2 linked regions of the Elephas maximus indicus genome follow. The protein of the gene in region 1 purifies or fractionates together with the protein of each later gene. This does not show direct contact. Links are inferred from orthologs where the notes say so. Each region holds a gene or a part of one and is shown on either strand. Other genes may lie near its edges. The genes, in order: DNAAF2 and UBE3D.

Region 1 (15,999 bases):
CTAGTACCAGGCTGTTTTGACTACTGTGAACATATAATGGGTTCTAAAATCAGGTAGACTGAGGCCTTCTACTTTGTTCTTCTTTTTCAATAGTGCTTTGCTTATCTGGGGCCTCTTTCCCTTCCGTATGAAGTTGGTGATTTGTTTCTCTGTCTAATTAAAAAATGTCTTTGGAATTTGGATCGGGATTGCATTGTATCTGTAGATCGCTTTTGGTAGAATAGACATTTTTACAATGTTAAGCCTTCCTATCCATGAGCAAGGTATGTTTTTCCACTTATGTAGGTCTCTTTTGGTTTCTTGCAGTAGTGTCTTGTAGTTTTCTTTGTATAGGTCCTTTACATCTCTGGTAAGATTTATTCCTAAGTATTTTATCTTCTTGGGGGCTACTGTAAATGGTATTGATTTGGTGATTTCCTCTTCGATGTTCTTTTTGTTGGTGTAGAGGAATCCAACTGATTCCTGTATGTTTATCTTGTATCCTGATACTCTGCTGAACTCCTGTATTAGTTTCGATAGTTATCTTGAGTATTCTTTAGGGTTTTCTGTGTATAAGATCGTGTCATCTGCAAATAGAGATACTTTTGCTTCTTCCTTGCCAATCTGGATGCCCTGTATTTCTTTATCTAGCCTAATTGCTCTGGCTAGGACCTCCAGCACAATGTTGAATATTTCAAGAGTGGTGTTAAAGGGCATCCTTGTTTGGTTTCCGATCTCAGGGGGAATGCTTTCAGGCTCTCTCCATTTAGGATGATGTTGGCTATTGGCTTTGTATAAATGCCCTGTGTTATGTTGAGGAATTTTCCTTCTATTCCTATTTTGCTGAGAGTTTTTATCATGAATGGCTATCGAATTGTGTCAAATGCCTTTTCTGCATGAATTGATTAAAATCGTGAGATTCTTGTCTTTTGTTTTATTTATATGATGGATTACATTAATTGTTTTTCTAATGTTGAACCATCCCTGCATACCTGGTATGAATCCCACTTGGTTATGGTGAATTATTTTTTTGATAAGTTATTGAATTCTATTGGTTAGAATTTTGTTGAGGATTTTTGCATCTAAGTTCATGACGGGTATAGGTCTGTAATTTTCTTTTTTTGTGGTGTATCAGGGATATGCTGGCTTCAAAGGATGAGTTTGAGAGTACTCCGTCCTTTTCTATGCTCTGAAATAGCTTTAGTAGTAGTGGTGTTAACTCTTCTCTGAAAGTTTGGTAGAATTTTGCAGTGAAGCCGTATGGGCCAGGGGTTTTTTTGTTGGTAGTTTTTTGATTACCTTTGCAACCTCTTCTTTTGTTATGGATCTATTTAGTTGTTCTACCTCTGTGTTAGTTTAGGTAGGCAGTGCGTTTCTAGGAATTCATCCATTTCTTCTAGGTTTTCAAATTTGTTAGAGTACAATTTTTCATAGTAATCTGATATGATTCTTTTAATTTCAGTTGGGTCTGTTGTAATATCGCCCATCTCATATCTTATTCGGGTTATTTGCTTCTTGTCCGGTTTTTCTTTTGTCAGTTTGGCCAATGGTTTATCAATTTTGTTAATTTTTTCAAAGAATCAGCTTTTGGTCTAGTTAATTCTTTCAATTGTTTTTCTGTTTTCTATTTCATTTAATTCTGCTCTAATTTTTATTATTTGCTTTCTTCTGGTGCCTGAGGGTTTCTTTTGTTGCTTTCTATTTGTTCAAGTTGTAGGGATATTTATTTGATTTTGACCTTTTCTTTTTTTTGTATGTGTTCATTTATTGATATAAATTGACCTCTGAGCACTGCTTTCGCTGTGTCCCACTTCTGATAGGAAGTGTTTTCATGCTCATTGGATTCAATGAATTTCTTTATTCCAACCTTAGTGTCTTTTTTGAGCAGGGTATTGTTCAGTTTCCAGGTGTTTGATTTCTTTTCCCTGCTTTTTTGTTATTGATTTCTACTTTTATGGCCTTATGGTCAGAGAAGACGCTTTGTAAAATATTTCAGTGTTTTGGATTCTGCTAAGGCTTGCTTTATGTGGTCTATTCTGGAGAACGTTCCATGTGCACTAGAAAATATAGTTGGCTGCTGTTGGGTGGAGTGTTCTGTAAACGTCTATAAGGTCAAGTTGGTTGATTGTGGCATTTAGATTTTCTGTGTCTTTATTGAGCTGCTTTCTGGATGTCCTGCCCTTAACTGAAAGTAGTGTGTTGAAGTCTCCTACTACTATTGTGGAAATGTCTGTCTCACTTTTCAAGCTCTTAGCATTTGTTTTATGTATCTTGCAGCCCTGTCATTGGGTGCATAAATATTTAATAGGATTATATCCTCCTGGTATATTGTCCCTTTAATCATTATATAGTGTCCTTTCTCATCCTTTGTGGTGGATTTAACTTTAAAGTCTGTTTTGTCAGAAATTAATATTGTCCCTCCTGCTCTTTTTTGATTGTTGTTTGCTTATTTTTTCCCATCGTTTGAGTTTTAGTTTGTTTGTGTTTCTAAGGTGTGTCTCTTGTAGGCAACATATAGACGGATCATGTTTTTTATCCGTTCTGCCACTCTGTGTCTCTTTATTGGTGCATTTAGTCCATTTACATTCAGTGTAATTATGGATAGGAATGAATTTAGTGCTGTCATTTCATTTTGGTGTCTTTTTTTGTGTGTTGCTGACAGTTTCTTTTTCCCACTTAATTTTTTGTGCTGAGTAGTTTATATATTGTCTTTTTCTCTTACTCGTTGTTGATTTTGTTTCTGCTGAGTCTCTATTTTTTTTGTGTGTTTTATTTTGTTGTGTAGGATAGTTAGTCTTCTTTGTGGTTACCTTAATATTTATGCATATTTTTCTAAGTTTAAACCTAACTCTTATTTCTTTATATTGCTTTGTCTTCCTCTCCACGTGAAAGATCAGTGACTACATTTCTTAGTCCCTCTTTATTGTTTTAATGTTGTCTCCTTTTACATAATAAGATAGCTGTTTCCCCATTTTGAGCCTTTTTTTATCCTGTTTTTGTGATTTCCATGTCTGGGTTGACATCTGATTGCTCTGTCCAGTGTTCTAGTCTTGGGTTGATACCTGATATTATTGATTTTCTAACCAAAGAACTCCTTTTGGTATTTCTTGTAGTTTTGATTTGGTTTTTACAAATTCCCTAAACTTCTGTTTATCTGGAAATGTCCTGATTTCACCTTCATACTTGAGAGACAGTTTTGCTGGATTTATGATTCTTAGTTGGCAATTTTTTTCCTACAATGCTTTATATAAGTCATTCCATTGCCTTCTTCCCTGCATGGTTTCTGCCGAGTAGGCCGAGCTTATTGTAGATGACTTTTCATTTATCCCTACCTGCTCTTAAAATTCTCTATTTTTGGTTTTGTCAAGTTTGATTATAATATATCTTGGTGACTTTGTTTTAAAATCTACCTTACGTGGAGTTCGATGAGCGTCTTGGATAGATATCTTCTCATCTTTCATGATATCAGGAAATTTTCTGCCAACAAATCGTCAACAATTCTCTTTGTATTTTCTGATATTCCCCTGTTCTGGTACTCCAGTCACTCGTGGGTTATTTCTCTTGATAGAGTCCCACATGATTCTTAAAATTTCTGCATTTTAAAAAAAAATTTTTATCTGATTTTTCTTTAAATATATTGGTGCAAAGTGCTTTGTCTTCAAGCTCACCAATTCTGCCTTCCACTTGCTCAATTCTTCTCTTTCTATTGAGTTGTCTAAATCTGTCTAAATCTGTAATTTTATTGTTAATCTTCTGAATTTCTAATTGCTGTCTCCCTATGGATTCTTGCAGCTTATTAAATTTTTCATATGTTCTTTGAACCTTTTTAATTTCTTCAGCTGCTTTATCTGTGTGTTCCTTGGCTTGTTCTGCATATTGCCTGATGTCTTAAAGGGTTCTGTATATTAATCTTTTGTATTCTGCCTCTGGTAATTACAGGAATGCACTTTCATCTATAAGATCCCTTGATTCTTTGAGAGCTTGTTGAAGCGATCATGGTCGGTTTCTTTATGTGATTTGATATTGACTGTTGTCTCTGAGCCATCTGTACATTATTATTTTGTGTGCTTATTGTATCCTAGCTTTTTGCTTCGCTTTGTTTTGATATGCCCAAATAGGTTGCTTGCTTGAGCTAGCTTGATTACTTTCGACTTTGAAGCTCTAGCGTCCTGTCACCAGATGCTTAGAGCTGTTATTAGGTGTATCAGTCTAGAAGTCCGTTCACTTTCCTTGTATGGATTCAGCTCATGTGTCCAGGTAGTTGTTCATCAAGTGTGTGGTACAGGCTCTGTCCTACAGTCTTAGAAGGGCAGGGGTGATTGGTGTAGGTACCGGTATCTGGTTGCAGCAGGAGGTCATGTTCTGAACAAGGCAGGGGTCTCAGAATTGTCCCCCAAGTGTCTCTGAGGAAAGTGCATCCCTGTTCCCTAGAGTGTACAGGTGGGTGAGTTCTGTAGACAGTCTACGGGCACCCAATGCTTTAGGTTTTAAGGACCGGGAGGTACTAGTTATTCTTGGATGCCTGTCGCAGGTGTTTGGGTGACCTGAGTAGAGCCACGAGTCCTTAGGCCCCTGATGTGGGTAGGTGAGGACCGTGTTTAATAGGCAATGGGGTGTCAAACATCAAACACCCACCTCTCTACCGTACAGCTGAAACAGTTGCTGTCTACCAACAAGGGCGTATTCTCCTGTAATAGGCCCACACAGGTCCACACAGGGGCAAAAGGTATTCAAAGTCGACACACTGTCTATGTCTGGATAGGAGCTACTTCTATCAGGCGCTCCCCAGGTTAGTGGAGCTGGCAAATTATCTTTTCCCCCAATTGCAACTTTATTCCTTCTCCAAGGCTGAGAGAATCGCTCCTGGCTCTCAACAGGGCTTATCCCAGGCCCAGGGAAATCAGAAGCCAGCTTGGGGGCAGGGGGCACGGAAAAATATATGCAAGTACTCAGCTTTTGCCAAGAGCACCGTTCTTCTCTGGATCTGGAGGTGTTGAGTAGGCTGTGCGGCTGGTTGCTTCTCCCTGAAGAAACTGCAGCCGAACGCTACCACCAGCCCCCTGCAGCCACTCCTGGGAATGGAGCCTGAGGGATCCCAGTGATCCGGGGCTGGCAACTCCTCCGCTTTTGAACTATCTCTTTCTCTCCCTGCCACTCAGTCTGTTTTCTAACTTGGCCTTTGATGTTCAGGGCTCCTAGCTTGTCATAAATATAATCATTTCACTTGTTTTTTTGGGTCTTAGTTGTAAGAGGGATTGCCGGAAGCGTCTGGCTATTAGCCATCCTGACCCTGCCTTTCTACTTAAATTCTTATAGCATACCAGGCACTGCTTAGTTCTTAGAATATAAACAGACACTCATAAAAATCACAGATATCCTAGACCCGTGTTCTGTAAGTCTAATGTGTTTGACTTTATGTAGCCTGCACTGAATACTAAAAAAAAAAAAAAAAAAAATTTGGAATACCCTTCAGTGCTCTTCTCCAGTCCCTCCACTCCCTGTTGTGTACCTGTGTACCCCGCTGCCCCTGAAGGCATTTAATTTTGTGACCTTGGGATTAAGCCATTTCTGAGGGCTGTGTGCCTTTAGATTGACTTAACAGAGATTTGGGTTATGCTATCGACATAAAAAAATTAGTCTGCTATGAAAACCAATATTGGGCAGTTTCAACAGGTCTCAGGAGAAGAGAAATCTGTCTGTCCCAAGTAAATGTAAATCTTCCAATTGTCTCCCTTCACTTTGACTGCTAGGAAACGGTGAAATTTGCAGCCCACCTCTGTCATGCAGACGATTTACTAGTTTAAGTGGTGGGTGCTAACCTCAGCCCTTGCTTTATCTTTTTTTCTGATCCCTATTTTCCCTTTACCTGAATTTCCTCATTTACTTATTTTTCTTATTTATCTGTACAAGCCATTTTATATATATTTTTAATGAGATGGTATATAATAAACCTAATAGGAAATTAACTGAGGTATTGTGATAGCATAAGTCATTTCAGTTATATCTCCTGTAATGTTCCCTGATTGCTTTGTGTTCTGAGCACTTTATGCAGCTATTACAGTTCTTTGCACGTTGCATTAGAAGTCATTAATGTGCATGTCCCTCCTAAAAGTTTCTAGCATAGGATCTAACATAGTATTTGACTTGTAGTCAGTGCTCACTTAGTGTTTGTTGAATTGAAACAGGTTCCTGTATCTTCTGTGGACACAGATGCTGAAAAGCCTTGATATCATTTCCAAACTGTGGCTTAGTACTGATAATCCGAGGAATCTTTTCAGTGCTAAATCCAATATAATATCCACACTCCCAAATCAAAACTTGATTTATGTTTTTTTTTGAGAGAACAGAAAAAAATTTCAAGATATAGTAAAATAATTTCGTCTTCCTGCTACTTAATGCCTAGGAGATCTTGTTAGAATACTTGTGAAATCATATTGTACAGTTAATCACAAAAATGTAGGCAGAGTAGATTAAGGTTAACCCTGTTTCGATATGTACTTTCAAATACAGTTGTTTTATTTAAAAACTCAGTATTGGCGATGTAGTCGGAAATACGCATTCACATACATTGTTGGTCAGAATGAAACCTTATAGAGGGCAATTTGACAAGATTTATTAAGATCTAAAATGCATATACCAGCAATTCAATTTCTAGAAATTTATTCTACAGGTATGTATATGTAGGCTTATGCGTAAAAATAAAGGTTTTTTTAATTGGAGTTTTATAGTAAGGAATACAGCATAGCAATGAAACCATTTAAATGTATTTTTATTTAAATTGTGTGTATGTATTCAGAAGTTTTATTTAAATTTCAAAGGCACAAAAGAAGGGGTTGGTTAAGATATAAATGTACTTACTAGTAATTGGAAAAAAAAGTGTAGAATAACATGCATCGTATTCTACACTCATGTATGCATTTTTAAAGGATATTCCACATACAAACATGCTGTTATATGATTAGACTATAAGCATACACAAATCTGTGTGAGGAGAAGTGAGGTATGAGACTGGCTTACTTTTCAGTGTGTGCTCTTTTGAATTTAGAACCATGTGCATGTATTAACCTATGTTTTAAGTTAATTAAAAATAAATATTAAGAAATATATAATTTGTTTCTAAAAGGTTTAATTTTTTCACTTTTTTCTGTTTTCAGCAAACTTCAAGGCTTTTGAGATTCTTAAAGACCGTATGAGGAAACCAAATTCATCAGTTTCCTGTTTAATTTTATATTTTATGTAATTTTGATATTAAGTTATAATAAAATTATGGTACTTTACGAAGTTCTATCAATTTATATTAGACAAATTTTTTATATTAAATCACAATAAACATGACGGTATACTTCAGAAAATTTTATAGGAAATATATTTTCTACAGTCTTTTAAGAAAAATATGTGGATATGTGCAAAGATATTATCTAGGTATACTTTTGCACTTAAAATATAAAGTTTTGTTTCTCTGTAATTGTCATACATGTTAACTTTAAGAAAAATACAAATATTTAAAAGTGCCCAAATCATTGTTTTAGTCTTAGGTTTTTATCACCATAAGAGTCCCAACAGTATGCTCAGCATTTTTCAAACTGTCTAGATTTCAGTCACAGAATTTCTCCCACTGATTTTGCTTCAGGACCTTAGTTTGATATTCATTACACAGACACAGAAGTTTTTGGTACTGGAAATATAAAAACAAACAATCCCTATAGTTTTAACATTTAGAAGACATGTTTATTTTGAAGCAGCATGTTTTGTTGTTTTGTACGTATATCACTCAACACTATCCTTTTATTTATCGTGTAGTTTAGGGACTTGATGGAAAGATAGCCCAGAAATGAATCTGAATGAGAGAGGCTGTTAGGCAGAGGTACAAAGGATGTTTCCAATGTAGTAGTAACATTAGAAATTACAAAAAGCCTGAATGGAAGATATTTATTTCAAATAGAATTAGTTTTTTTGGGAGGAGATACTAATAAAAAATAAAAATGGCGTAATGAAGAGGAAATTCCTGGAAATTTAACCTGAATGCAGTGTTAAGTGAATTAGCAGTAAGGAAGACCTGGCAATTTGAGATGTGTTTTGAAGATGGAAAATTCGGGAAGCATGTAAGAAGGAACCTGATGTTAGAAAAGCAGGGTTTTATAGCTTTGATTTCTCCAAGAATAGCCTGGAAAAATTGGAAGTTTAAAGATAAAATCAAGGCACAGGTTTAAAGCCACTAGATTGCTTGAAAAAATTTACATTTTGGGCCTTGAAAGTCGTAGTGAAATAGACATAAGGTTTGTTCGTCCAGTTATCCAGTTACGAGAGCCGTAGAGCTTTATATGAATGATGGCAAGTGGATACCAGGTGTTCCTATTCACTCATTAGTTTAACAAATAATTGCTTCCATAATTAAAGCTGCGGTATTTTGAGATCTTTTCAGGAAATCTGTTAATGACTAGAAGACAGGGTACACTTAGGGGCCAGATAATTTGAACTGAAATGAAGCAAGGCAATTTACTAAGAGCAGGTAAGATGTCAGTAGCAGGAAATAGGTCACGGAATAACACAGGAACTAGAAACAGGTGGGTCAGCATCATCCAGAAATCAAAGGTGGGTAAAAAGTTAATTATAGAAGCAATTATTTGTTAGATGAATGAGTAGATGAACGAAGGGACACCTAGAATCTGGTTTCCATTTATAATTCTTTACCCATCATGGATAGGAAGCAGAGATGTGAAAGATGGGCCAGCAATGAGCACTGAAAGGGTATGCTGAGCTTATGCTCTTGGGAAAAACAGGGTGTGCTCCCTGATTCAGTGTTTAATCAGCTGAAGCAAGGCTGATCTCGCCGTGGTACAGGAACCTAAAAAAAAAAAAACGAGAAACCCAGTAACCCATAATTATTACTGTACTTGGTTTAAAAAACTAAGAAGCCAGTTTTTGCATTTCAATCATACCACTCGGATTCCTTCCCTCCTGCCTGGTGTCAGCGCCGTCGCTATGGCAACGGCCACGCGCTGCCCACGGCTCAATTCTCTGGCCGTTACTGACCACGGCTGCTTCACTCGTCGCGGACCGGGACTCCACGGTGCCTTCCACTCACCCTGCCTCGGATTGATCCCCCTTGGCCCGAGGGCAAGGCTCTACGGGGCAGCATGGCGAAGGCGACCAACTCGTCGCCGCTGGAGGACTTGGACCTAAGCGGAGATGAGGTACAGCGTCTCACCACCGCCTTCCAGGACCCAGAGTTCCGGCGGCTGTTATCCGAGTACGCCGGGGAGCTCACAGACCCCGAGAACCGAAAGCGCTACGAGGCGGAGATCACTGAGCTGGAGCGTGAGCGCGGAGTGGAGGTTCGGTTCGTGCACCCGGAGCCGGGCCACGTACTGCGCACCAGCTTGGACGGAGCGAAGCGCTGCTTTGTGAACGTGTGCAGCAACGTGCTGGTGGGCGCGCCGAGCAGCCGGCCCGGCTCCGGGGGCGCGGCGCCGGGCCACCACTGGTTCCTGCCCCACAGCCTGGCTCCAGGCCGCGAGTACGCGGGGCGCCGGGGCACTCGCTACACGGTCTACGACGTGGTCTTCCATCCAGACGCGCTAGCGCTCGCCAGGCGCCACGAGCGCTTCCGCCACATGCTGGACGCCACGGCCCTGGAGGCCGTCGAGAAGCAGTTCGGCGTGAAGCTGGACCGCAGGAATGCCAAGACCCTGAAGATCAAGTACAAGGGGACTCCGGAGGCCGCCGTGCTCCGCACGCCACTGCCTGGGGGTGCCCCGGCCCGCCCCGAGGAGGAGCCGGAAGGCCCTCTTTCCGATTTCCCTTACCCCTACCGGTACCCGGGGGCCTCCGGGAACTCGGCCGTGCCCCAGCCCCAGGCTCCCGCCCCTTCTGGGCCGGCCCCGCCCCCCGCCCCCACCGAGCCTCGCTACAGCGTGGTGCAGCGCCACCACGTGGACCTGCAGGATTACCGCTGCTGCCGGGACTCGGCTCCGAGCCCGGTGCCCCGCGAGCTGGTGGTCACCATCGAGCTGCCGTTGCTGCGTTCGGCCGAGCAGGCAGCCCTGGAGGTGACGGGAAAGCTGCTGTGCCTTGACTCGAAGAAGCCTGACTATCAGCTGCGGCTCTCGCTCCCGTATCCGGTGGACGACAGCCGCGGCAAGGCGCAGTTCAACAAGGCCCGGCGACAGCTAGTCATCACGCTCCCTGTGGCGCTACCTGCCACGCGCCGGGGGCTCCCGGCAGCGCCGGAAGGGGCGGTGGACCCGCCCGGAACTGACGGCGGGTCGTGCGCTTCCGCTCGCGAAGGGGAGGCAGGCCAGGGTGGGGGTCACGCCGAGGACCGAGACTCGAGTCCCAGCGGTGCCGGTGCTGCAGACGCCGGGATCGCCACCCCGAGCGCCCCCGAGGTGGCGTACTCGCCTGCCGGCGCTGGAGAGGAGATTATCCCCGAACAGAAAGAACAGGACTCCGGCGGGCACGCGGACGCGGGGTCGCCGCTGGGCAATTGGGAGGACTCGCCTACAGGAGCAGGGAGCGTCTCTGGCGACGGTGGCGGAGGCTTTCCTTGTGTTTCAACCGGGAACCTTGACGCGGGGTCTTCAACAGAAAGAGGGGGTGAAGGCAGAGATTTCAGTGTGCAGACGCGCGGGGGCTGCGAAGGCGCTGACCGAGAGCCCTCTAACGGAGCCATGGGTGGTCCCGGGACCCAGAGCGGGGAACCTTTGTGTCCTCCTTTGCAGTGTAATCAGGATGAAGAATCCCTGATTCTACTAATTCAAGTTCCACGGATCCTGCCGCAAAGTCTTCGAGGGGATTTGAACCCCCTTCGGTACAAATTGTGCTTCTCCACGCAAGACTTTGTTTTTTATTCCTTCTTTTTGCAGTTTGCTCCAGAGAATAAATTGAGTACCAAAGAACCCGTGATTAGCATTTCTTCAAACAATGCAGTGATAGAACTGGCCAAATCTCCGGAGAGCCATGGACATTGGAGGCAGTGGTATTACGGTTTAAACAACGATTCTTTGGAGGTAACAATTCTTCCTAGAGCCTTATGTTTGAAAGGCTCCATTCCGTTTTAAAATTTTCTATTACTGGCAGCCTCACTATTTATCCCCCCCCCCAAAGCACTTCCTATCAATGACTTGGAATTGGTAATGAATTGAAATTGATGAAAGATGTCAGTTGTGTTAAACGTTCTCACAGTATTTTGAAGAAACGAAACCGAATCCATCCACTACGGTGAATGGGTTTCAAATCTTCAAAGTTGTCCTAATGTAGGAGTTGTTTTCCTGAATTCCCAGCGATCCGTGGACCTCTGAAATTGTTTGCAAAAAGTTTAGCGTGCTTTTTTTCTTGAGAGAAGCTGTAACTTGTCATAACCTCGAAGGGGTTTGTGATCCACAAGTTTAAGAACCATTCCCTAAGGACCATATTTGAAGTTTGTAAATCACTTTTTCTGAGTTTGTTGTTAGGTGCTGTCGAATGGATTCTGACTCGTATCATCCCAATGTGACAGACTAAAACTGCCTGATAGGATTTAAAAAAAAAAAAAATTTTTTTTTTTTTTTTTTTTTAATCTTTACTATAGCAGATCGCCAGATCTTTCCCTCCTTGGCGCCGCTGGACGGGTTCGAACTACACCACCGAACTTTTGGTTAGCAGGAGGGTTTACCCATTGTACCACCAGAGCCCCTTTTCCGAACTTGGAAAATTAATAAGAATAATTTACTTCCGGAGAGAAAAAAAATAACTCAGCCAGTGCCACACAGATGTAGGAAAAGGAAGTCAAACCCAGATGTGATTCCAAATCCCTTGCCCTTCCCGCCTTATGGTGCTGCTTAATTTTAGTCGCCGATGGTGGGGTTGCCCTCTGCTGGGTACTGTATATCTCATTGAAGTTACCTCTTTTTATGTCTGTTGGAATCATGTTTGTGTCCCTATAGGGTCGCTATGAGTCGGAATTAACTTGTTGGCAACTAGTTTGGTTTTGGGTTTACTAGTAGTATCTAGCACAATGTCTGGCACTTAACAAAGTGTAAAGGTAAATGTTTGTTGAACTGAACAGCGGCTACATCAGCTGGCAAATACTTCAGAGCTAAATTGAGCATACCTGTTTTCTTAGGTTATAATTCTGATGAATAATTTAGCATGTGTGGTGTAGTTGCTGCTATACTTTTTAGGTTATTGGCGTTCCTGAGTTTCAGATTCAGTACTTCACCCAAATATTGAATGAACTACTTAAAATTTGAAGTTGTAAAAAACTCTTTAAACTCAATAATTAGCAGTTCATGATTTTGAGTTATGTATCAACTTTACATGTAACTTGTTCTTTTAACATATTCAGGGTCAAGTTCTCAGAAATAGCACTAGTTGCACAGATTATATATTAAAAATTAAGTACTTGACCCTGGGTTTAACCTGCCAGAACTTTTTACATCTTCCTGTTGTTTTTATAAAAACCCATTGCTGAAGGAGAATGAAGAACACCAAGGTCACACGACAACTAAGAGCCCAAGAGACAGAAAGGGCCACATGAACCAGAGACGTACATCATCCTGAGACCAGAAGAACTAGTTGGTGCCCGGCTACAACCGATGACTGCCCTGACAGGGAGCACAATAGAGAACCCCTGAGGGAGCAGGAGATCAGTGGGATGCAGACCCCAAATTCTCATAAAAAGACCATACTTAATGGTCTGACTGAGACTAGAGGAATCCCGGCAGTCATGGTCCCCAAACCTTCTGTTGGCACAGGACAGGAACCATCCCCGAAGACAACTCATCAGACATGAAAGGGACTGGACAGAGGGTAGGAGAGAGATGCTGATGAAGAGTGAGCTAATTATATCAGGTGGACACTTGAGACTGTGTTGGCATCTCCTGTCTGGAGGGGGGATGGGAGGATAGAGAGAGTTGGAAGCTGGCAAAATTGTCACGAAAGGAGAGACTGGAAGGGCTGCCTCATTAGAGGGAGAGCAAGTGGGAGTAAGGAGTAAGATATATATAAACTTATATGTGACAGACTGACTTGATTTGTAAACGTTCACTTGAAGCTCAATAAAAGTTAATTAAAAAAAAAAAAAAAACCCATTGCTGGCTAGTAGATTCCGAATCATAGCGACCCTATACGACAGAGTGGAACTGCCCCATAGATAGGGTTTCCAAGGCTATGATTTTTACAGAGGAGCCCTGGCCTCCACGGTGGTTAAGCGCTGGGCTGCTAACCTAAAGGTTGGTGGTTTGTACCTACTCGCCATCCTGGGGAAGAAAGATGTGGCAGTCTGCTTCTGTAAAGATTACAGTCTTAGAACCCCATGGGGTAGCTCTACTCTGTCCTATAGGGTAGCTATGAGTCTGAATCCATGGCAACTGGTTTTGGGATATTTGTGGAAGCAAGACTGCCACATCTTTCTCCCAGATCAGCTGGTGGGTTCAAACAATCATCCTTTAGGTTAGCAGCCCAACACTTAACCGTACCACGGGGGCTCCTTGTTTTTATAGGAGTTTGCTAATAAGTTACATGTACATTTTATGAGTTGGGCCTCTTCTTTGAGAATTGGTTAATTTGAAACTCCCCCAAAAAGGTAAAATAGCCAGCACTAGGTAAGATATTTTGTGAGAATATGGTAAAATTGAATTATCTGTTTATTTCATCAGAAAGGGGAAATTTAGGAAAGGACAGTCATTTTCCTGTAATTGTTTTAACAGTTATGAAAATAAGTGTTTGTGCGAAGAAAACCTTATGGGCAAGTAGTTAAGAGAATTCTGAAGAATATATTTTAATCTGATTTCTCAGTATGCTAACAGATTAAGGCAACTTTTTTTTTTTTTTAATATCTTTAAAGTCTGGAATAGAAATATAATTACTTCATTAATCATCATGTTTGCTAAAGCTGATGGAACCCTACTGTCCAATTCTTCCATTTTTCATTGTGTTGTATCAGGCTCTAAGTATTAAATTAGAAGAAAATTCACAAGAGAATAGATATAAAATATATCATTATTATTTCATATATATGAAAATGATTATAATGTAGAGACTGTTTTGTGGCTGTAGAGGTCAGAATTGTTACTTTACACATAAATACTGTTGTTATTGGTTGTTGTGGAGTTGATTCCAACTCATAGGGACCACATGTGTTACAAAGTAGAACTGCTCTGTAGGGTTTTCTCGGCCCTGGTGGTGCAATGGTTAAGAGCTCGAATCCACCAGCTGCTCCTTGGAAACTCTGTGGGGCAGTTCTGCTCTGTCCTATAAGCTCATTACGAGTTGGAATTGACTTGATATGGGTTTTTAGAATCTTAACAGAAGCAGATCACCAGGCCTTTTCCTCCATAGTGCTGGTGGGTGGGTTTGAACCACCAACCTTTAGGTTAGTAGTTGAGCACAAACTGTACCACATAGAGACCTTAAAACAAATATTAAATATATTTATATAAGCTTTAAATATTTACTGGGAATTGCCCTACAGCTTCAAGACCACTGTCAGTATCTTTTATAATAAAACCAGGCACCAGGATGAGAAGGCAAGTTTATGCAAATCCTTTGTATTTTAATCTTAATCATTTTCATTATAAATATTTTTCCTTGTGTTAACTAAAGATGAAAATATTTGATGTGTTTTTTAGCAGTCAGGAAAAGACCAATGTATAAGTCTTTTCTAGAAAACAAACCTTAGAAATGCTTTTGATGGGGATGTTTCTATAATACAGTGTTAGCCTGGATCTTCAAATAATAGCAAAGCAAATTACTGTAGATGTAAACAGTTCACTTTGGGAAAAACAACTCTTCTGCTGAGTTATTCACTAGAATCATAATATATTCTCATAATATATATTAAGAAACTGAGGGTCCAAAAGCATAGTATCTATAAGTAGCTATAAAGTTGGGTAAAAATACAGCCTAGAGAGCCTAGAGAGTGTAATGTGGGTACACCTTAAAAATTATAAATCCAATGAAAAGGGCCAATTCTGCATTTCCCCCTGTTGATTCAATCTGTTAAAAAGGAACTCTAGTTATGTTTTCTTAGAAACAATAGTCGTAACTAGTCTTTATTTGTAATAGATTTCAAATATGTATGAGTGACATACCATATATACATACCTTCCACTTCTAGTTTTATATAATATATGGCCTGACTGAAGTAATCTTATAAATTAATTTTATAATACTGTCCTTTTTAGTTATATACCATTATTGTATTGTGGGACCAATTATTTTAGGATTCAAAGTTTCAAGGCATTGAGCTCAGTGACCGGGAAGGATCCTTGCGATTTTCCTAGTCCAGCTGGCTCATTTTATAGATTAAGGAACCTGAGGCCAGACTTGCCCAACATTCTACAGGTAAATGATTTAAAAAATTTTTTCAGGTTAGAAAAGTTTTATTTTTTATTACCAGTAATTATGATATAACCTATTATCTTTTTGTGTGTGTGCTTTAGATGAAAATTTATAGAGCAAATTAGTTTCTCATTAAACAACTAATAAACATGTTTTGTGACATTGGTTGCCAACCCCACAAAGTGTCAATACATTCCCCTTCTTGACCTTGGTTTCCCAGTGAAGTGATTCTTTAACTTTTTTGCATCATGAAACCCTTTGAGAATTTTACGAGCGTCATAGACTGTGTGTGTGTCCACACGGGTACTGTGCGCATGCAGCCTTTTTCATACAGTGTTCAGCAGATGCTGGACTCCCTGCTTTAGTAAGCAGTAGGAGTAGCTCTTTCAAGAAAGAAAATACTGTAAAGTCAAATAAGGAACAATTTAGGAATGTTATTCCCCCTAAACTGTACATCATTTGGAAGAAACACAAATTCTCTGAAGCAGCAGAGAACCCAAGTGATTCAGAAACTTAACAGTGGGACTTTTCTATTTAACATTTGCCATTTAGAAGATAGGTGGATAAAACTGTTTGTCTTGGGATGTCTTGTCACAGGCTTAAAGTGTTTTTACTAGCAGCTGAATGAATTAGCAGACGCTAGCACTGGCTCCTGGCTTATTAGATTCTCATAGAAGGAAATTTGAAACTTGTCTAATT
Region 2 (15,852 bases), on another chromosome or scaffold:
CATTCAGTATTTCCCAAAATTGGGGCCACCAACTCAATGTGAGATAATTTTATGGGACCCAAGGACACGGCTAAGCAATAATGAATTCTTTGAGGATGCAATTTCCTGTTCAATCTCTTTTACTTCCTCTGACAGCATCAAAAATAATGTCTCAGTTTGGTGTCAGAATGTTATAATGCCTCTGTAATTCTGGATAATATTCCTTAACCAAAGAGTAGCAAGTCTCAGGCTAAAAGCCTTCATAGGCAATAGTTTCTAGCTATAATTTAATAAAATTGCTTTGTTTTCAAGTCCCAGAGTGGTAAAAGTAGTTAAGTACTTGATTACTAACCAAAAAGTTGGGGGTACAAACCATCTCAGAGGTGCCACAGAAGAAAGGCCTGGAGATCTGCTTCTAACAGGTCACAGCCTTAAAAACCCTATGAAGCGCAGTTCTACTCTACAACACATGCAGTCTCCATGAGTCAGGATCAGTCTGATGGCAACTGGTTTGGGTTTTGTTTTCATTATTTTTAACTTCATGCCACTTTCTATTTATGGAAAGTGATCCCCGCTTTTTATTTATGGTAGTTATTTCAAGTTTCCTTTAAAAATAATTGCATTGACTTAAAGAAATATTAAGAAAATAAATATATAGGAATATGCACATATGGCTGAAATTTCGATGATGCTATAAGACTGACTAAAGTTTGGGAAACACTGCACTAATCTATTTGGTCAGCAAATAAATACAAATGTCTATTACGTGCATGACATTGGTTTAGCCATTGTTAAGGACAGAGAGAGAAGTTCAAGAAAATGTTCATAGGAAGCCTATTAGAGGAGGAAATTAGTTCAAAATGAGGTATTCACTTTGAATCCATCAAGGATTCACAGACAAGTTAGCATTTGAGCCAGGACTTGAAAGATAGGTAGGTATGATTTAGATGTGTAGAGACAGGAAAAGCCTTTCAAGAGAGCGGAAGCATACCAATATAGACCTGAGCAGTGGACATCCTCCATATCCTGACTGCGGTGGTGGTTACATAGGTGTGTATATATTTGTTAAAGCTCAATGAAATGTATACTTAACATGGGTATACATTATTGTATGTAAATTTTACCTTAATAAAGTTGATACAGTATCTTTGACCTATGCAATAAAAGTATGGGTCAAAGATCATTGAAGTTGCAGGCATGGAGAGCTTGGACAAGGGCTGTTATAAGTTGAATTGTGTCCCCCCAAAAGATATGTAGAAGTCCTAGCCCACCTGCCCACCCTCCCCCCTCAACCCTCAATGAACTTGTGAATGTGGTTTTATTTGGAAATAGGGTCTTTGCAGATGTAATTAAATTAACATGAGCTCATATTGCCTAATCCAGTATGAGTACTATGCTTATAAAAAGAAAAGAGGAGACACACAGGGAAGAATGACCATGTAGAGATAGAGGCAAAGACTGGAGTTATGCTACCACAAACCAAGGAATGCCTGGGGTCACGGGAAGCTGAAGAAGCTAGTAAGGATCTCTCCCTAGAGCCTTCAGAAAAAGCATGGCCCTCCTGACAATCTGAATTAGACTTTTAGCCTTCAAAACTGAGAAAATAAATTTCTGTTGCTACAAATCACCCAGTTTGTGGTAAGTTGTTAAGGAAGCCCTAGGAAACTAATACAGGTGGTAAACACAATAAGGAGAAAAAACAAATCACTATTTAAAGACAAGTGGATCAATGTATTTATTTTCATATAATAAATTCTCAGTATAAACTGTTAGCTATCACACAAAAATATTAGCTCTTAAACTACTTAAGAGTTTTATTTCAGACAGAGAATTTATCAAAGGTTTATCTATTTCATGGATTGAATTGTGTCCCCCCAAAATATCCGTATCAGTTTGGCTAGGCCATGATTCCCAGTATTGTGCAACTGTCCACCATTTTGTAATCTGATGTGATTTTCCTACATGTTGTAAATCCTATCTCTATGATGTTGATAAAGTGAGATTAGCAGCAGTTAGATTAATGAGGCAGGGCTCAATCTACAAGATTAAATTGTTTTAAGCCAATCTCTTTTTGAGATACAAAAGAAAGAATCAAGCAGAGAGACATAAGGAACTCATACGACCGAGAAAGCACCACCCAGAGCAGAGCAAGTTCTCTGGACCTGAGGTTCCTGTGCAGAGAAGCTCCTAGACCAGGGTAAGATTGATGAAAAGTACCTTCCTCCAGAGACAACAGAGACAGAAAGCCTTTCCCTGGAGCTGACGCCCTGAATTCTGACTTCTAGCCTCCTAGGCTGTGAGAAAATAAATTTCTCTTTATTAAGGCCACCCACGTGTGGTATTACTGTTACACCAGCCCTAGATAACTAAAAAACCCAAGCAAATCCACTGCCATCGAGTCGACCCTAGAGAACAGAGTAGGACTCCCTCATGGGGTTTCCAAGGAACACCTGGTGGATTTGAACTGCCGACCTTTTGGTTAGCAGTGGTAGCTCTTAACCACTAGCCATCAGGGTTTCACTACATAACTAAGACACCTATTAAAATTCAACATCCTGTTCCTATCCTTTCCTACAACTGGAAGCCCTAACTAAGCAACAAAAACAGAAGCACCCACACTTTCTGCTTTCAGAATTTAACAACAACAAAAAAAAGAGTTGATTGTACTCAATACTTAGATACTGTGTGTTAGCAACGAAGAAATAACTGTTTTAGCATTAATGTTTTTAACCTTTAACTGGCTTTGATGATCTATGCTCTTAAAATTATTATTTAAGTATATTTCCGGTAGCTTGTATCACTTTCATAGTTGTAAGAATTCATTATTAGAAAAGGCATATCATTCATGGTAAAAACAATGCCATCATCAAGACTTTACTTGTTGCAACTTTAAAATGCCATAAAATCAGTAACTCAACCACAGAATCAAGTTCAAAACATGAATTAATTATTTTTAAAGAAAAGCATCAAGAGACCAGGAAAGGGGGAAAAAAAAAAATCTTCACCATAAATTAATGAATGAAAGCTCATGAAGACCCATGTGCATTCTTAATATTAATATTAATAATAGAAGCCTTTTCCTGAAACCAGTGAGAGTTGCCACTAGATCTTCCTGCTCAAGCATGAAGCATACTTCACACTTAAAACTGACTTGGTACTTAAAGCATAACGCATGAAATTTTAGAGCTGAAAAGGAGACTCAATAATCACGAAGCATAGCAATTTTCAAATTGGTGTTCTATGTAATTATATTCTAGGAAATGTTAACAGGTTGGCCATGAGAAAATAGGATCTCGAGCCAGGTAAGTTTAGGAAATGCTGTGATAACCTTCCCCTGGAGATATACACTGCATATTAGCATAGTGAAGGTTTGAGGAGTCCTGCAGTTAAAAGCAAATCAAAAAGTCATTTAACTTGGTTTAACCCAGTGTGCTCCCAAATTATTTCCTATGGAACACTGTTTTGGAGCAATGAACTTATTAACAGCTTTAGAACAATGTTCAGGAGAAACATCCATTTGGAAAACTCTGACTTTGTCAAATTCCCTTAAGTAGATAACAAAATTGAGGCCACCTGATTAGTGGCAGAATAAACTCGAACCTAAATCTTATTCCAGCAGAGCTCTTCCTACTACTTCAACTACAAAATAGGTCTCTTTTGACTATGTACAGTGACAACATTTAATTTACATCTAACAGTTTGTCACTGGCATCACATTTTCTGGTTTGTGTATTAACTTAGGTGTTTTAATTCTTCCGGCAAGAATTGGGTCCCCAATAATCAGGCCCATCTGTATATTTGCCATTGCTTAGCAATTCTGAGGAATGATTTAGAGTGGTGGCTGAAAAGTAATGACTAAAATAAAGCATTTAGCCTGCACGTGGACAATTTCTATTAGCTCAACTAAATCACTGTATTGCCTATCAGGTGGTGAGTTACTTAGGACAAAATGTTTACATATGCTATCCATAAACAGACCTTAAAAGTAGCCCACATTAATTCTGACATATAAAATTAAAATACAAGATCTTATACCTGCGTAGAAGACAAGCAGTCAACATGAGTAGGAATCGGCTCGACGGCAATGGGTATATATATATATATATATATATATATATATATATACACATAGTTCAAGGCTTGTTTTTCGGCAAATAAGCTCTTAAACCCATTGCAGTGGAGTGGATTCTGACTCACAGCGACCCTGTAGGACAGAGAGCTGTCCCATAGGGCTTCCAAGGAGCGGCTGGTGGATTCGAACTGCCAACCTATTGGTTAGCAGCGTAACACATAGCCACTGCGCCACCATATTTGTGTGATCATAAAGAAAAAAAATAATAAAAGCAAATTGCTTTAACTACAGTCTCCAAATCAAATTTTTCCAATCCTTTTATTTCTCAAATTCCATAGTACTCTAAAATTGAGTAAAAATCAAAACACAACTGACATAGCTTTAAAAAAGTAGCTGATTATGTGTACCCCTTCCCCCAGCCACCCCACCAGGGTAAGTAAAAAATGGAGAAAACCGAACAAGTAACTATTGTTATGTTGCAACTTTAGGGCTTGGAAATCAAAGGTGATAATTCTTAACAACTTCCGTAAGACTAATCCGACTTCCTCTTAATAAACTTCCGTACTCCCTTCTAACCCCCTCCCGTGAACATTTACCATAGCTGACATTCTTCTCTCCTCAAAACTAAGAGAATCCAGAGTCAGTGAGGCGACACTACGCACTGATTGCGCCAACAAAGAGGTTATTCCCCGCGCCTTTACCGCAGAGGTGCGACCTGCCCCACAACCTCATGCCCAGCTCGTCCCCGGCTACCGGGCGCTCCGGACCCACCCCTGCCCAGGGCGGCCCATGCGCCTCCGCCCGTCGGTCCCCGCGCAGCTCCCGCATCCCCGAAACCCAGAGGGCGGCCAGCGGCTCCGCGGCTCCAGGCGGGGCCGGGACGCGACAGCCCGACGCCACAGTAAGCCCGACTCCAGAATGAACCAGTCCGAGGAGGTCGCCTTGGACCGGCGGCCCGCCTCGCGACCGCACTGGGGGCGGGGACGCTGTTACCTGCCCTGGACTTGCCCGCTCCCGGCCGGCGCCGCTCTCCTGGCAACCGCGGCAGCTACAAGGAGGCCGGAGCCGAAGGGCCTGGTGACAGCTCCCAGAGTGCACCGCGCTCGCGGCCACGCCGGCGTCGACGTCGACCGCCCTAGATCTCCGCCCCCAGCCGGCTCCTCGCCTCCCAACTGTCGCCACAGCGCCCTCTACCTGCCATTTCGGGTAAGCGACTTATCGTCATGAACCGCAGAAAACCCAACCCCAACCCGTTGCCGCCCAGGGGATTATAGCTGCCCCACAGGGTTTCCAAGGAGAGCCAGGTGGATTTCAACTGCGAACCTTTTGGTTAGCAGAGGGTAGTTCTTAACGACTACGCCACCAGGGCTCCTAAACAGCAGAAGTGGGGCGGAAAAGAGGCTTTTAGTAGGTGTTTTCAACTTGCCAGGGCCAGTCCCGTTTAGATGCAGAGTATGAAGCGAAGTGAGGAATTGAATAAGCTGGAGGATTCCGCCTGTATGAGTTACTCGAGGCCCGAGATTAGGAGACAAATAGTTGCAGCTATTTTGAGGCTAAAACTCTAAATCACTTCAAGTTACTCAAAGGAGGATCGCACCATTTTGCCTAGACTGTGAGCCAGAACAGACTTGAAGGCAATGGGTTTCGTTTTTTTGGTTTTATAGGGTCAAAATATGATGAACACTTTTTTTTTTTTTTTACAATAAGTGGCTTCATATAAAATCTAAAAACCACTAACGATAATCAAACACCATGAGGGGCATATTATGCTAAGAATGTTAAATATTTTAATATAATGTATCAATATTTTAAGCCTTTAGTAGCCCTGGAGATTATAGGTGGATGATGATAAGAGGAGTTGAAATCATTGTTACCTGATTGGGGTCTGTGCCCTGGAGCAGTCGAGCCAATGAAACACACTCCAAGTCAGAAAGAGAGAGAAAGTTTAAGGAGATGTATACATCATCCGCGACCGAGCAGCAACACAGGCTGTCTCTATGGAGTCCCAAAGAGCAATTTTACATTAGAGTTTATATAGAATCTTACAAGGGTTAAAAGTGTCTTTGTAGTCTGAAGATGGCCTGGCCAGAGGAGTTACTCATTATAGTATCATGACAAAAGACTCTTTATCAGACTAAGGAGACACATGCCCACATCTCTTTATCAGGCTAAAGATATATGTATCAGACACCTGGGCTCTGATTTTCCTGGGGGGGGGGGTCGGTTTAAGTCACAGGTGGTCAGACAGAACAAAACAAAGTTATTTGCATCAGACTAAAACAAAGAACAAAGTCATTAGCATTAGATCAAAACAAAGTCATTAACAGAGGTCTGTGAAGGAGGAGGCAGGCAGAGGAAGGAGAAGAATTTATAGGTTCATTATGGCGTTATGTCAACCTCTTAGTTGCCCATTTTGAAAAAGGAGAAAACATGCTGGGGTGTATTGGGATCACAATTACCCTAGACGTAGATGAATTATTTGAGATGGAATAGTAGTAAACTCAATTCTCTGAGTTGTTACCTCGATCCATGATTTCAAATTACTGTGATAGATACACAAATCTGTGCAACAGATGTCTATCAACATAAAACACCCAAATAATAATTTTAGAATAATAGTCTTAAGCTGGTATCTTTGAAGAAGTGGATTTATTTATTTGGAAATGTTTTAATATTTTTGGTGTGTGATAATTATGACCTTGAAATTACAAAGCAACATCAATAAACATAGAATCTTACATATACAAGTCATGATTGCCTGTTTTTAAAAACTAACAGCTTCTTGCTGGTGAAAATGGACACAAAAGGAGAGAGGAGGGAGAGAGCAGGCTGTCTTATTAGGGGGAGAGTAACTGGGAGTGTGTAGCAAGGTGTATATGGGTTTTTGTGTGAGAGGCTGACTTGATTTGTAAACTTTCACTTAAAGCACAATAAAAATTATTTTAAAAAACTAACAGCTTCTTGTTTTTAAAGAAGTCCTATTGTAACACTACTTATATTTTAATATTTAAAGTGAACTTATATTTTAATAATTCCTAGTTCCCAGTTAGAAGTATTTAAATTATACTAGGTCCTTTCCTTCACTATGTCAACATTTCCAAAATTATAGTAATAGCGTAATATTTACACTTCCCTGCGTCAGTTTTTACTGTATAGTTGGAATCATCCTCACTTCCTTTTTTTCAAGAGTTATATGAATGCTTAATCCTGTAATTCAACATACTGAGCTTCAGCCACACATCCTCCTGAAGACCAAACCCGTTGTGGTCGAGTCCATTCCGACTCACAGCGACACTATGAGGCACAGCAGAACTGCCCCACGGGGTTTCCAAGAAGGAGCTGATGGATTCCAGCTGCCAACCTTTGCTCCACTCTTCTGAATAGGTAACAGAAAACTTTATTACGTTGCATTTTTTTTTTCTGGCAACTGTTTCAGTCTTAGAGAGATCATGTCCAAGTTGAGAAGGAACGCGAAGTCAATCCTTGACATTCGTTGCCTTGGATGGAGATAAACTACCAATCGACCCTAGTTCATAAAAAAGAGAACAAAGTAAAATGGATTTAGGGTGGGTAGTTCTGCTCTGGAAACCGTGGTGGCAGTGGTTAAGAGCTACGGCTGCTAACCAAAAGGACAACGGTTCGAATCCACCAGGTAGGTGCTCCTTGGCAACCCTATGGGGCAGTTCTATTGTTCTTCTAGGGTCGCTGTGAGTCCGAATAGACTCGACGGCAACGGGCTTGGTTTGCGTTTTTTTAATTCTACTCTTGGGCTCCCTGGAAACCCTGGTGGCTACTGGTTAAGTGCTATAGCTGCTAACCAAAATGTCCGCAGTTCAAATCCACCAGGCACTCCTTGGAAAAACTATGGGGCAGTTCTACTCGGTCCTATAGGGTAGCTGTGAGTCTTTTCTTGGGCTTCACCGGGTGGTGTCCACCTGCATCGCCTCCCTCTATGATCTCCCTCTCTTCATGTCCCATCCTTACCCAAGTTCGCCAAAGAGGTGTACCCCGAAATAATTTTTGTTTTCATTTTCAGGAAGACTAACGCTCCAGGCCACGCCCATGAGTAGCGGCCTCATAGGATAGCCTAGCTCTCCCCGCCCACCTGTCTCAGCATTCCGTGCAAGAGCGCACGCCCCTCCGGTCCATATTCCTCGTGGCGCGTTCTCCGCCCGGCAGGTGGCGCTGTGGGCTAGGAGGCCTCTCCAGCAGTGCGTCCGATCTGGGCGGGCAGCTGGGCCGCCGCCGCTCCTGCTGCATGTGCAGCGGGTCGGCTCCCGGTGACCCGGTTCGCCAGAATCTCAGGCTCTGTCTAGCCTGGGGCGGGGGCTCCCGCCATGACGGCGACGGCGGCCGCGATGCGCATGTTCCTGGAGGTCAGGAGACGGCTGCAGAGCGCGCTGCTGATCGTGGGGTAAGGCCTGGGGCGGGCGTGTGGGCATCCAGGCGCGGTGGCCAGATGGCTTTTCTGTTGCCCCGGGGTCTCCGCCTCCCTCGAAAGGTCGGGTTTTGAGTTTCTTCTTTCGAGTTGCTAAGAGCCTCTCGTTAATGAAAGTGGAGCCCTCCTGCAAGAGTAGTACTCCGACTGGTAGCCTCGGAATCATCTGGGAGCTTTTTCGAAATGCAGTTTCAGCCCCACACCAAACTTTCTGAGTCGGAATTATTCCCGGATTCAAATGCATATTAACGTTTGAGGAGCAGTGATGTAAAATACTGCTGGCAGTGACCGGGCGTTTTCCAAAGTAACAGTGCAAAAAATGGGTTGTGTGGTTCTGTTCCGGACCCTCGTTATGGGATCAGTTCCAATGTGCGAGCTTCCTGTTTTGTAAATACCTTCTGGTCTTCTTGCCCCTCGCCGCCTCTCCACCCTTCCAAAAAAGAAAAGAAAAAAATACCCAGCTCGCTGCAGAGAAACTGATACAGTCATTCAATTAACGTGTGTTCAGTGAGCGAGTAACAAAGGTTGGGGACTTCTTATTGGAACTCATTCTTTTATCCTATCCCAAGTTCCAATGGGAAGTGTGCAAACGTTTAACTCGTTATTCACTACACAAACAAGAAACTTACAAGAAAAATACTCCTTTTGCTTGGCAACAGTTTTAATGGTGTGTAGTCCCGTCACCTATTTTCCTGAGACTGCTGTTTCAAATAGAGTAAGTTAGATGTTAAAATCCTCAAAATGTCATTTTTATTATATAGCGCCACTCCGAGGTAAATTGATGCTTAGCTTTTCCTCTTATTCTTAAATCTGGTGTGGCAGCTTTAAATTTGACGTGAGATCTGGGTTGTATCCTTGCTTTCGCACAAGCATAGAATCATTTAATTCTAGTTTATTAAATTGTAAGGAGCCCTGGTGGCGAAGTGGTTAAAGCGCTTAGCAGCTAACCTAAATGTCGGCGGTTTGAACCCACCAGCCGCTCTTCCGCAGATGTGGCAGTCTGCTCCTCTAAAGATTTGCAGCCTTGGAAACCCTATGGGGCAGTTCTACTCTGTCTTATAGGGTCTCTCTGAGTCAGAATAGACTCCACGGTAGTGGCTTTGGTTTCTTCAATTGTAAAATGGGTATGATATTTATCACTATATCTATCAAACTATCTAAAATGATGAGTTCACACAAATATCTCCAGTTCCAGTCCATCTTGTAGGGTTTTTGGAAGCCTCAATAAGATCATGTATGTATAAGACTTAGTTAAATTTAAAGCATCATGAAAATATAGATGACTTTATATTTCAGATCACTTTAATTCCTGAATTTCAGCTCCAGAAAAGATTTTTTTTTTTTTGTAATTTGTTGGTTTCTCCAATCCTCCCCCACCATGTACTAGAGGAAGTGACTGTGCCCAGCATCAACAGGTGGATTCATGTGTGCCTTTATTATTTATACATAATATAATATTATTTATTCTGCTGCCAGGATCCTAGGCAATATTACAGAGTCCTGGCCACCTTGCCCTTTCCCTCCTCCTGGTGCCACCTTCTCTCTGGGGCTGGTATCTGAGCTCCCCTGTACTTGTGCACAACCATGCCATTCCTGAAACCTAGGAACCCTCTGAAACTTTAAAAATATATTTCATATATATTGCTCACTTTATTCTTTAGCAGCTCTGATTTTTGCAGATGATGAGTGTTTATCGAGATATAACTTATATATAATAAAATACACAGATGTTGTGTTCAGTTTGATGAGTTTTGTGGAATGTATACATCTATGTAAGCACAAACCAGAATAAGACACAGAACACTTCTGTCACTTCAGGACATTCTCTGGTGCCCCTTTTAGGTGAGACTAAAAATTAGCCCTGCTAAGGTCCCTGGGAGGCACAAGAGGTTTGCCTCAACTGCTAACCTAAAGGTTGGCAGTTAGAACCCACCCAGTGGTAATGTGGAAAAAAGGCCTGGCAATCGGCATGCATTAAGATTACAGCCAAGAAAAGCCTATGGAACAGTTCTACTCTGTAACACATGGAGTCACCGTGAGTTGGAATCGGCTCGATGGCAACCAGCAATAAGGATAGATGCCTTTTATTTTATAAGAAACTGCCAAACCGTTCTCCAGTGTGGTTGTACGAGTTTACACTCCCACCAGCAAAAGAAAAAGAAAAAAAAGAGCTCCAATTGCTTTACGTTTTCACCTACATTTAATGTTATCAGTCTTTTTTGATTGTAGCATTCTAGTGGGTATAAAGTGGTACCTCATTGTAGTTTTAATACGCATTTCTCTGATGACTAATAATGTTGAGTAGCTTTTCATTTGCTTTTTGGCTATTTATATGTGTTCTTTTGTAATGCGCCTGCTATGATATTTTGCCATTAAAAAAAAAATCAGGTTGTTTGTCTTATTATTGAATTGAAAGAGTTCTTTAATTTGGAAACAAGACCTTTCTCATACGTTTGAAAATATGTGGATATTTTCCTCCCAGTCTGTGACTTGCCTTTTCATTTTCTTTGTAGTGTTTTTTGATGAGCAGAAGAAAAATAGTTTTAATGAAGTCCAGCATATCATTTTTTTTAAGGTTTTTTTTTTGTGTCTTAAGAAATCTTACCTCAAGGCTTGGAAGATTTTTTCATATATATATATATATTTTAATAGAAATTATATAGTTTTAGCATTTACATTGAGGACTATGAGCCATGTCAAATTAACTTCTGAGTTTAAAATGAAGTAGACATCAGAGTTCTTTTTTTTTTTTTATAAGGATATCCAGTTGTTCATCAGCATTAGTTGAAAAGACTATCATTTCCTCATTGAAAAAACTTAGCATCTTCATCAGAAATCAATTGACTATATTTGTGTGGGTCTATTTCAGGACTGTTTGTTCTATTCTACTGATGTTTTATCTTTCCTTAAGCCAGTATAATACTGTATTGATTATTGTTGTTATTGTTAGGTGCCATCGTGTGGGCTCCAACTCATAGCAACTCTACGTATGACAGAACAAAGTGTTGCCTGGTCTTGTGCCATCCTTACAATAATAGGCATGTTTTAACACATTGTTGCAGCCACTGCATCAATCCATCTCATGAGAGTCTACCTCTTTTTTACTGACTCTCTACTTTACCAAGCATGATGTCCTTCTCCAGGGACTGTCCCTTCTGGTAACATGTCTGAAGTAAGCAAGACAAAGTCTTGCAATCTTCACTTCTAAGGAGTATTCTGGCTGTACTTCCTCCAAGACAGATTTTGTTCATACTTCTGGCAGTCCATGGTATAGTCAATATTCTTTTCCAACGCCATACTTTAAATGAGCCAATTGTTCCTCAGCCTTCTTTTTTCATTGTCTAGCTTTCCTGTGCACAGGAGGCGATTGTAAACCTCACCGCTTGGTTCAGGTGCACCTTAGTCATTAAAGTGATATCTTCGCTTTATAAGATTTTAAAGAGATCTTTTGCAGCAGATTTGCCAATTCAAAAACAGCTACAGCCATAATTGACGGGAAACTGCCAGAAATTCAAGCCAGATTCAGAAGAGGACGTGGAATAAGGGATGTCATTGCTGATGTCAGATGGATCTTGGCTGAAAGCAGAGAATATCAGAAAGATGTTTACCTGTGTTTTATTGCCTACACAAAGGCATTCAACTGTGTGGATCATAACAAATTATGGATATGGAAATTTCAGAGTACTTAGTTGTGTTGATATGGAACCGGTGTAGATCAAGAGGCAGCCATTGAAACAGAACAAGGGGATACTGTCTGGTTTACAATTCGAAAAGGTGTGTCAGGGTTGTATCCTTTCACCATACTTACTCAGTCTGAATGTTGAAAAGATAATCCAAGAAGCTGGAGTATATGAAGAAGACTGTGCCATCAGGCTTGGAGGAAAACTCATTAACAACCTTTTTTTTTTTTTTTATAATACAAATGACAGAGCCTTGCTTGTGGAAAATGAAGAGGACTTGAAGCACTTACAGTATTTTTATACAAAATAATGCATGCCTTCTAAGTTTGTTTGCCAGCTTCTCCCTCCCCTCATGAGGTGTTTCCATAAGTACCACTATGCCAATTTTTGCATGTTGCTGTAGAAAAAAAAAAATTTGCATAGCGCTTATAAAAATACCTCTTGGAGGGGAGGGCACAGTTGGCAAACACAGAAGGTGTGCATAATTTGCATAAAAATACTGTACTAACAGATCAAAAACTACAGTCTTCATTATGGATTATACCTTAACACAAAGAAAACAAAAATTCTGACAACTGGAGCAATAATCAACATCATGATAAACGGAGAAGATACTGAAGTTGTCAAGGATTTCATTTTACTCAGAGTAACAATCAGCAGAGAGTAGAAACGCCCCATAGCATTTGGAAGGCTGTAATCTTTATGGAAGCAGACTCTGCCATATCTTTCTCCCATGGATCCATTAGTGGTTTCATATCTCTGACCTTTCGGTTAGCAGCCTGGCACTTTAACCACTGTGCCACTGAGTTCCCCTTCACAAAGTAGCAGCAGTCAAGAAATCAAATGACTGTCTTGATTAGTGTACCTTTAAAGAAAGTCTTGAAATCAGGTAGCATGAATTCTCCAAATTTGTTCTTTTTAAAGATTATTTTGAATATATTAGAGCTTTTGCATTTCCATATAAATTAATTTCTAAGGAACCTTAGTGGTACAGTGGTTAAGCACTCGGCCGCTAACCAAAAGATCAGTGGTTTGAACCCACCAGCTGCTACATGGGAGAAATGACCTGGCAGTCTGCTTCCATAAAGATTGAAAAAAAAAAAAAAAGATTATAGCCTTGAAAATCCTGTGGGGCAGTTCTCCTTTGTTCTACAGGGTCGCTATGAGTCGAAATTAACTCAATGGCAATGGGTTTGATTTTTAGTTTTTGTCATTTCTACAAAACATGCTTGATGGGATTTTGATTGGGATTACATTGATTCTACAGTGAATTTGGGAAGATGGCCTTCTCAACAATAATGAGTCTTCTAAACCATAAACATGGTAAATCTCTCCATTTATTTAGGTCTTTAATTTCTCTCAACAGTGTTTTGTAGTGGTCAGTATAATGGTCTCACACTTGTCTTACTAGATTTATTTCTAGGTATTTGATGTTTATGATTCATTGTAAGTGGCTTTGTTTTTTTAAATTTATTTTCCAATTGTTTGTTGCTAGTATCTAGAAACAGAATTTTTATATACTGATTTGTATCATGCAAACATGTCAAATAATTATTATTGATTCTAGAAGATTTTTTTTTTTTTTTAATATTCCTTAAGGTTCTTTTTATGTACCCAATCATGTCTTCTGTGAATAATAATCATTTTACTTCTTTCCAGTCTGTACATCTATTATTTATTTTCCTTTCAGTATTTTATTGGCTTGGACCAACATTCAGTAGAAGTTGTGAGAGTACACATCTTTGCCTTATTTCCATTCTTAAGGAAAAACATTCAATGCGTCACCATTAAGTATGATGTATGCCATGGGTTTTTTAAAATTAGGTAGAGGATGTTCCCTTCTAATAATAGTTTCCTGAGAATTTTTATTAGGAATGGTGTTAACTTTTTTCAAATGCTTTTTCTGCGCCTATTGAGAGAGATGATTATATTTTTTTTCCTTTAACTTTTAATATGGTGGATTCCATTGATTGAGATTTAAATGTTAAACATTTTACTTTCCTGAGATAAACCTCACTTTGTCATGATGTATTACATTCATATATATATACACCGTAAACCTGTTGCCGTTGAGTTGATTCTGACTCATAGCAACCCTATAGGACAGAGTAGAACTGCCCCATAGGGTTTCCAAGGAGTGGCTGGTGGATTCAAGCTGCTCACCTTTTGGCTAGCAGCCAACCTCATAACCACTACTGCACCACTAGGGCCACACACACACACAAACACATTTCTTTTATGGCTTATTAAGGATTTTTTTTTTTTTGACCTATGTTCTTGAGGGATATTGGTCTGTAGTTTTATTTCTTGTAATGTCTTGGGTTTTAGTTTCAAGGTTATTTTTTCCTCATGAAACAAATTGAGAAGTGTTTCCCTCCCTATTTTCTGAGTTTCTATAAGATTGGTTTTATTTCTTCCTTAAATGTTTGCTAGAAATTATAAGAAAAGGCATCTGGGCCTGGGATATTCTTTGTAGGGTGGTTTTAACTGCAAAGTCTATTTCTTTGATATAGAGCTATAAGGCTTTCTACTTAATCTATCAATTTTGATTGTGTTTTTTCAAGATTTCTGTTCATTTCCTATAAGCTGTTAAATGTTGTATAACGTTGTTTATAATATCCCCTCATTGTCCTTTTAAAGTAGTAATTTCTCTGCTTTTGTTCACGATACTGGTAATTTGTTTTCCTTCCTCTTTTTAGTCTAATCAGTTTTGCTAGGAGGTTGTTAATTTCATTTATCTTTTTAAGGAAACAGCTCTTGGCTTTAGTACTTTTTCTCTATTGCCTCTTTGTTTTCTATTTTATTGATTTCCACTTATTTTTATTATTACCTTTCTCTTACTTTCTTTGAGTTGGCTCTTTTTAGTTTCTTCTCATAGAAGCTAGGATTTTTTATTTCATACCTCTCTATTTTTCTAATATAGGCACTTAAGGGTTTAGGCACTTAAGGGTATACATTTCCCTCTAGCTACTGCTTTAGCAGCATCCTATACACTTTGATATGTTGTGTTTTCATTGCTTTCAATTTGTAAGGTTTTCTGTTTTCCTTGGGATTTTTTTCCCCTCCAGCCCATGGTATATATTTCTTCCACCCTTTTACAGGTGGTCCTTGACTTACTACGGGGTTCCGTTCTAATGATTCTGTCCTAACTTGGTTCTGACATAAGTTAAATACCTCTTTTTTTTTTTTTTTAAGTTTTTATTACTATTGCCTTTTATTATCAGTATCTTTATAAATCTGATCTTTATTTGTCTTTGAATGTTGGAAACAGTACATATAAACATAAACAAATTATACACTGCAACATTGTAGTAAATATTACTAGGGATAAGATGTAAAAACAAACAGGTGGTTGTAAGTACAGTTCATCGTAATGTGAATATGTCATAAGTTGAAGATTACCTGTACTTTCAACCTGTTGTGTCTTTATATGTAAAGTTTTTTTTAATAATTTTTGTTGTTGAGAATATACACAGCAGAACATAGACCAATTCACCAGTTTCTACGTGTACAATTCAGTGACATTAATTACATTTTTCAAGTTTTGCAACCATTCTCACCCTCCTTTTCTGAGTTGTTCCTCCCCCATTAACATAAACTCACTGCCCCTGGACTTTCCTATCTAATCTTTCCAGTTACTGTTGTCAATTCGATCCTATATACTCTTTCCTTTTGAGTTGAAT

What was found.
Region 2: the proteins of DNAAF2 (region 1) and UBE3D purify together in Homo sapiens (affinity purification with mass spectrometry; 4 studies listed by BioGRID and IntAct, counting the BioPlex papers as one, with this or other methods). This does not show direct contact. The link is inferred for Elephas maximus indicus from reciprocal best matches to the Homo sapiens genes DNAAF2 and UBE3D.

Annotation. Positions count from the first base shown.
Region 1 is NC_064828.1:61,934,026-61,950,024, reverse strand, and holds the start of DNAAF2 (protein kintoun), read left to right. Parts: upstream 1-9,116; coding exon 9,117-10,988; intron 10,989-15,999. Other genes in the region: POLE2 (DNA polymerase epsilon subunit 2), read left to right, coding at 7,134-7,152. UniProt on the Homo sapiens protein: Required for cytoplasmic pre-assembly of axonemal dyneins, thereby playing a central role in motility in cilia and flagella.
Region 2 is NC_064819.1:146,740,669-146,756,520, reverse strand, and holds the start of UBE3D (E3 ubiquitin-protein ligase E3D), read left to right. Parts: upstream 1-8,123; 5' UTR 8,124-8,388; coding exon 8,389-8,465; intron 8,466-15,852. Other genes in the region: uncharacterized protein LOC126070060, read left to right, coding at 4,039-4,042, 4,653-5,257, 7,239-7,256. UniProt on the Homo sapiens protein: E3 ubiquitin-protein ligase which accepts ubiquitin from specific E2 ubiquitin-conjugating enzymes, and transfers it to substrates, generally promoting their degradation by the proteasome.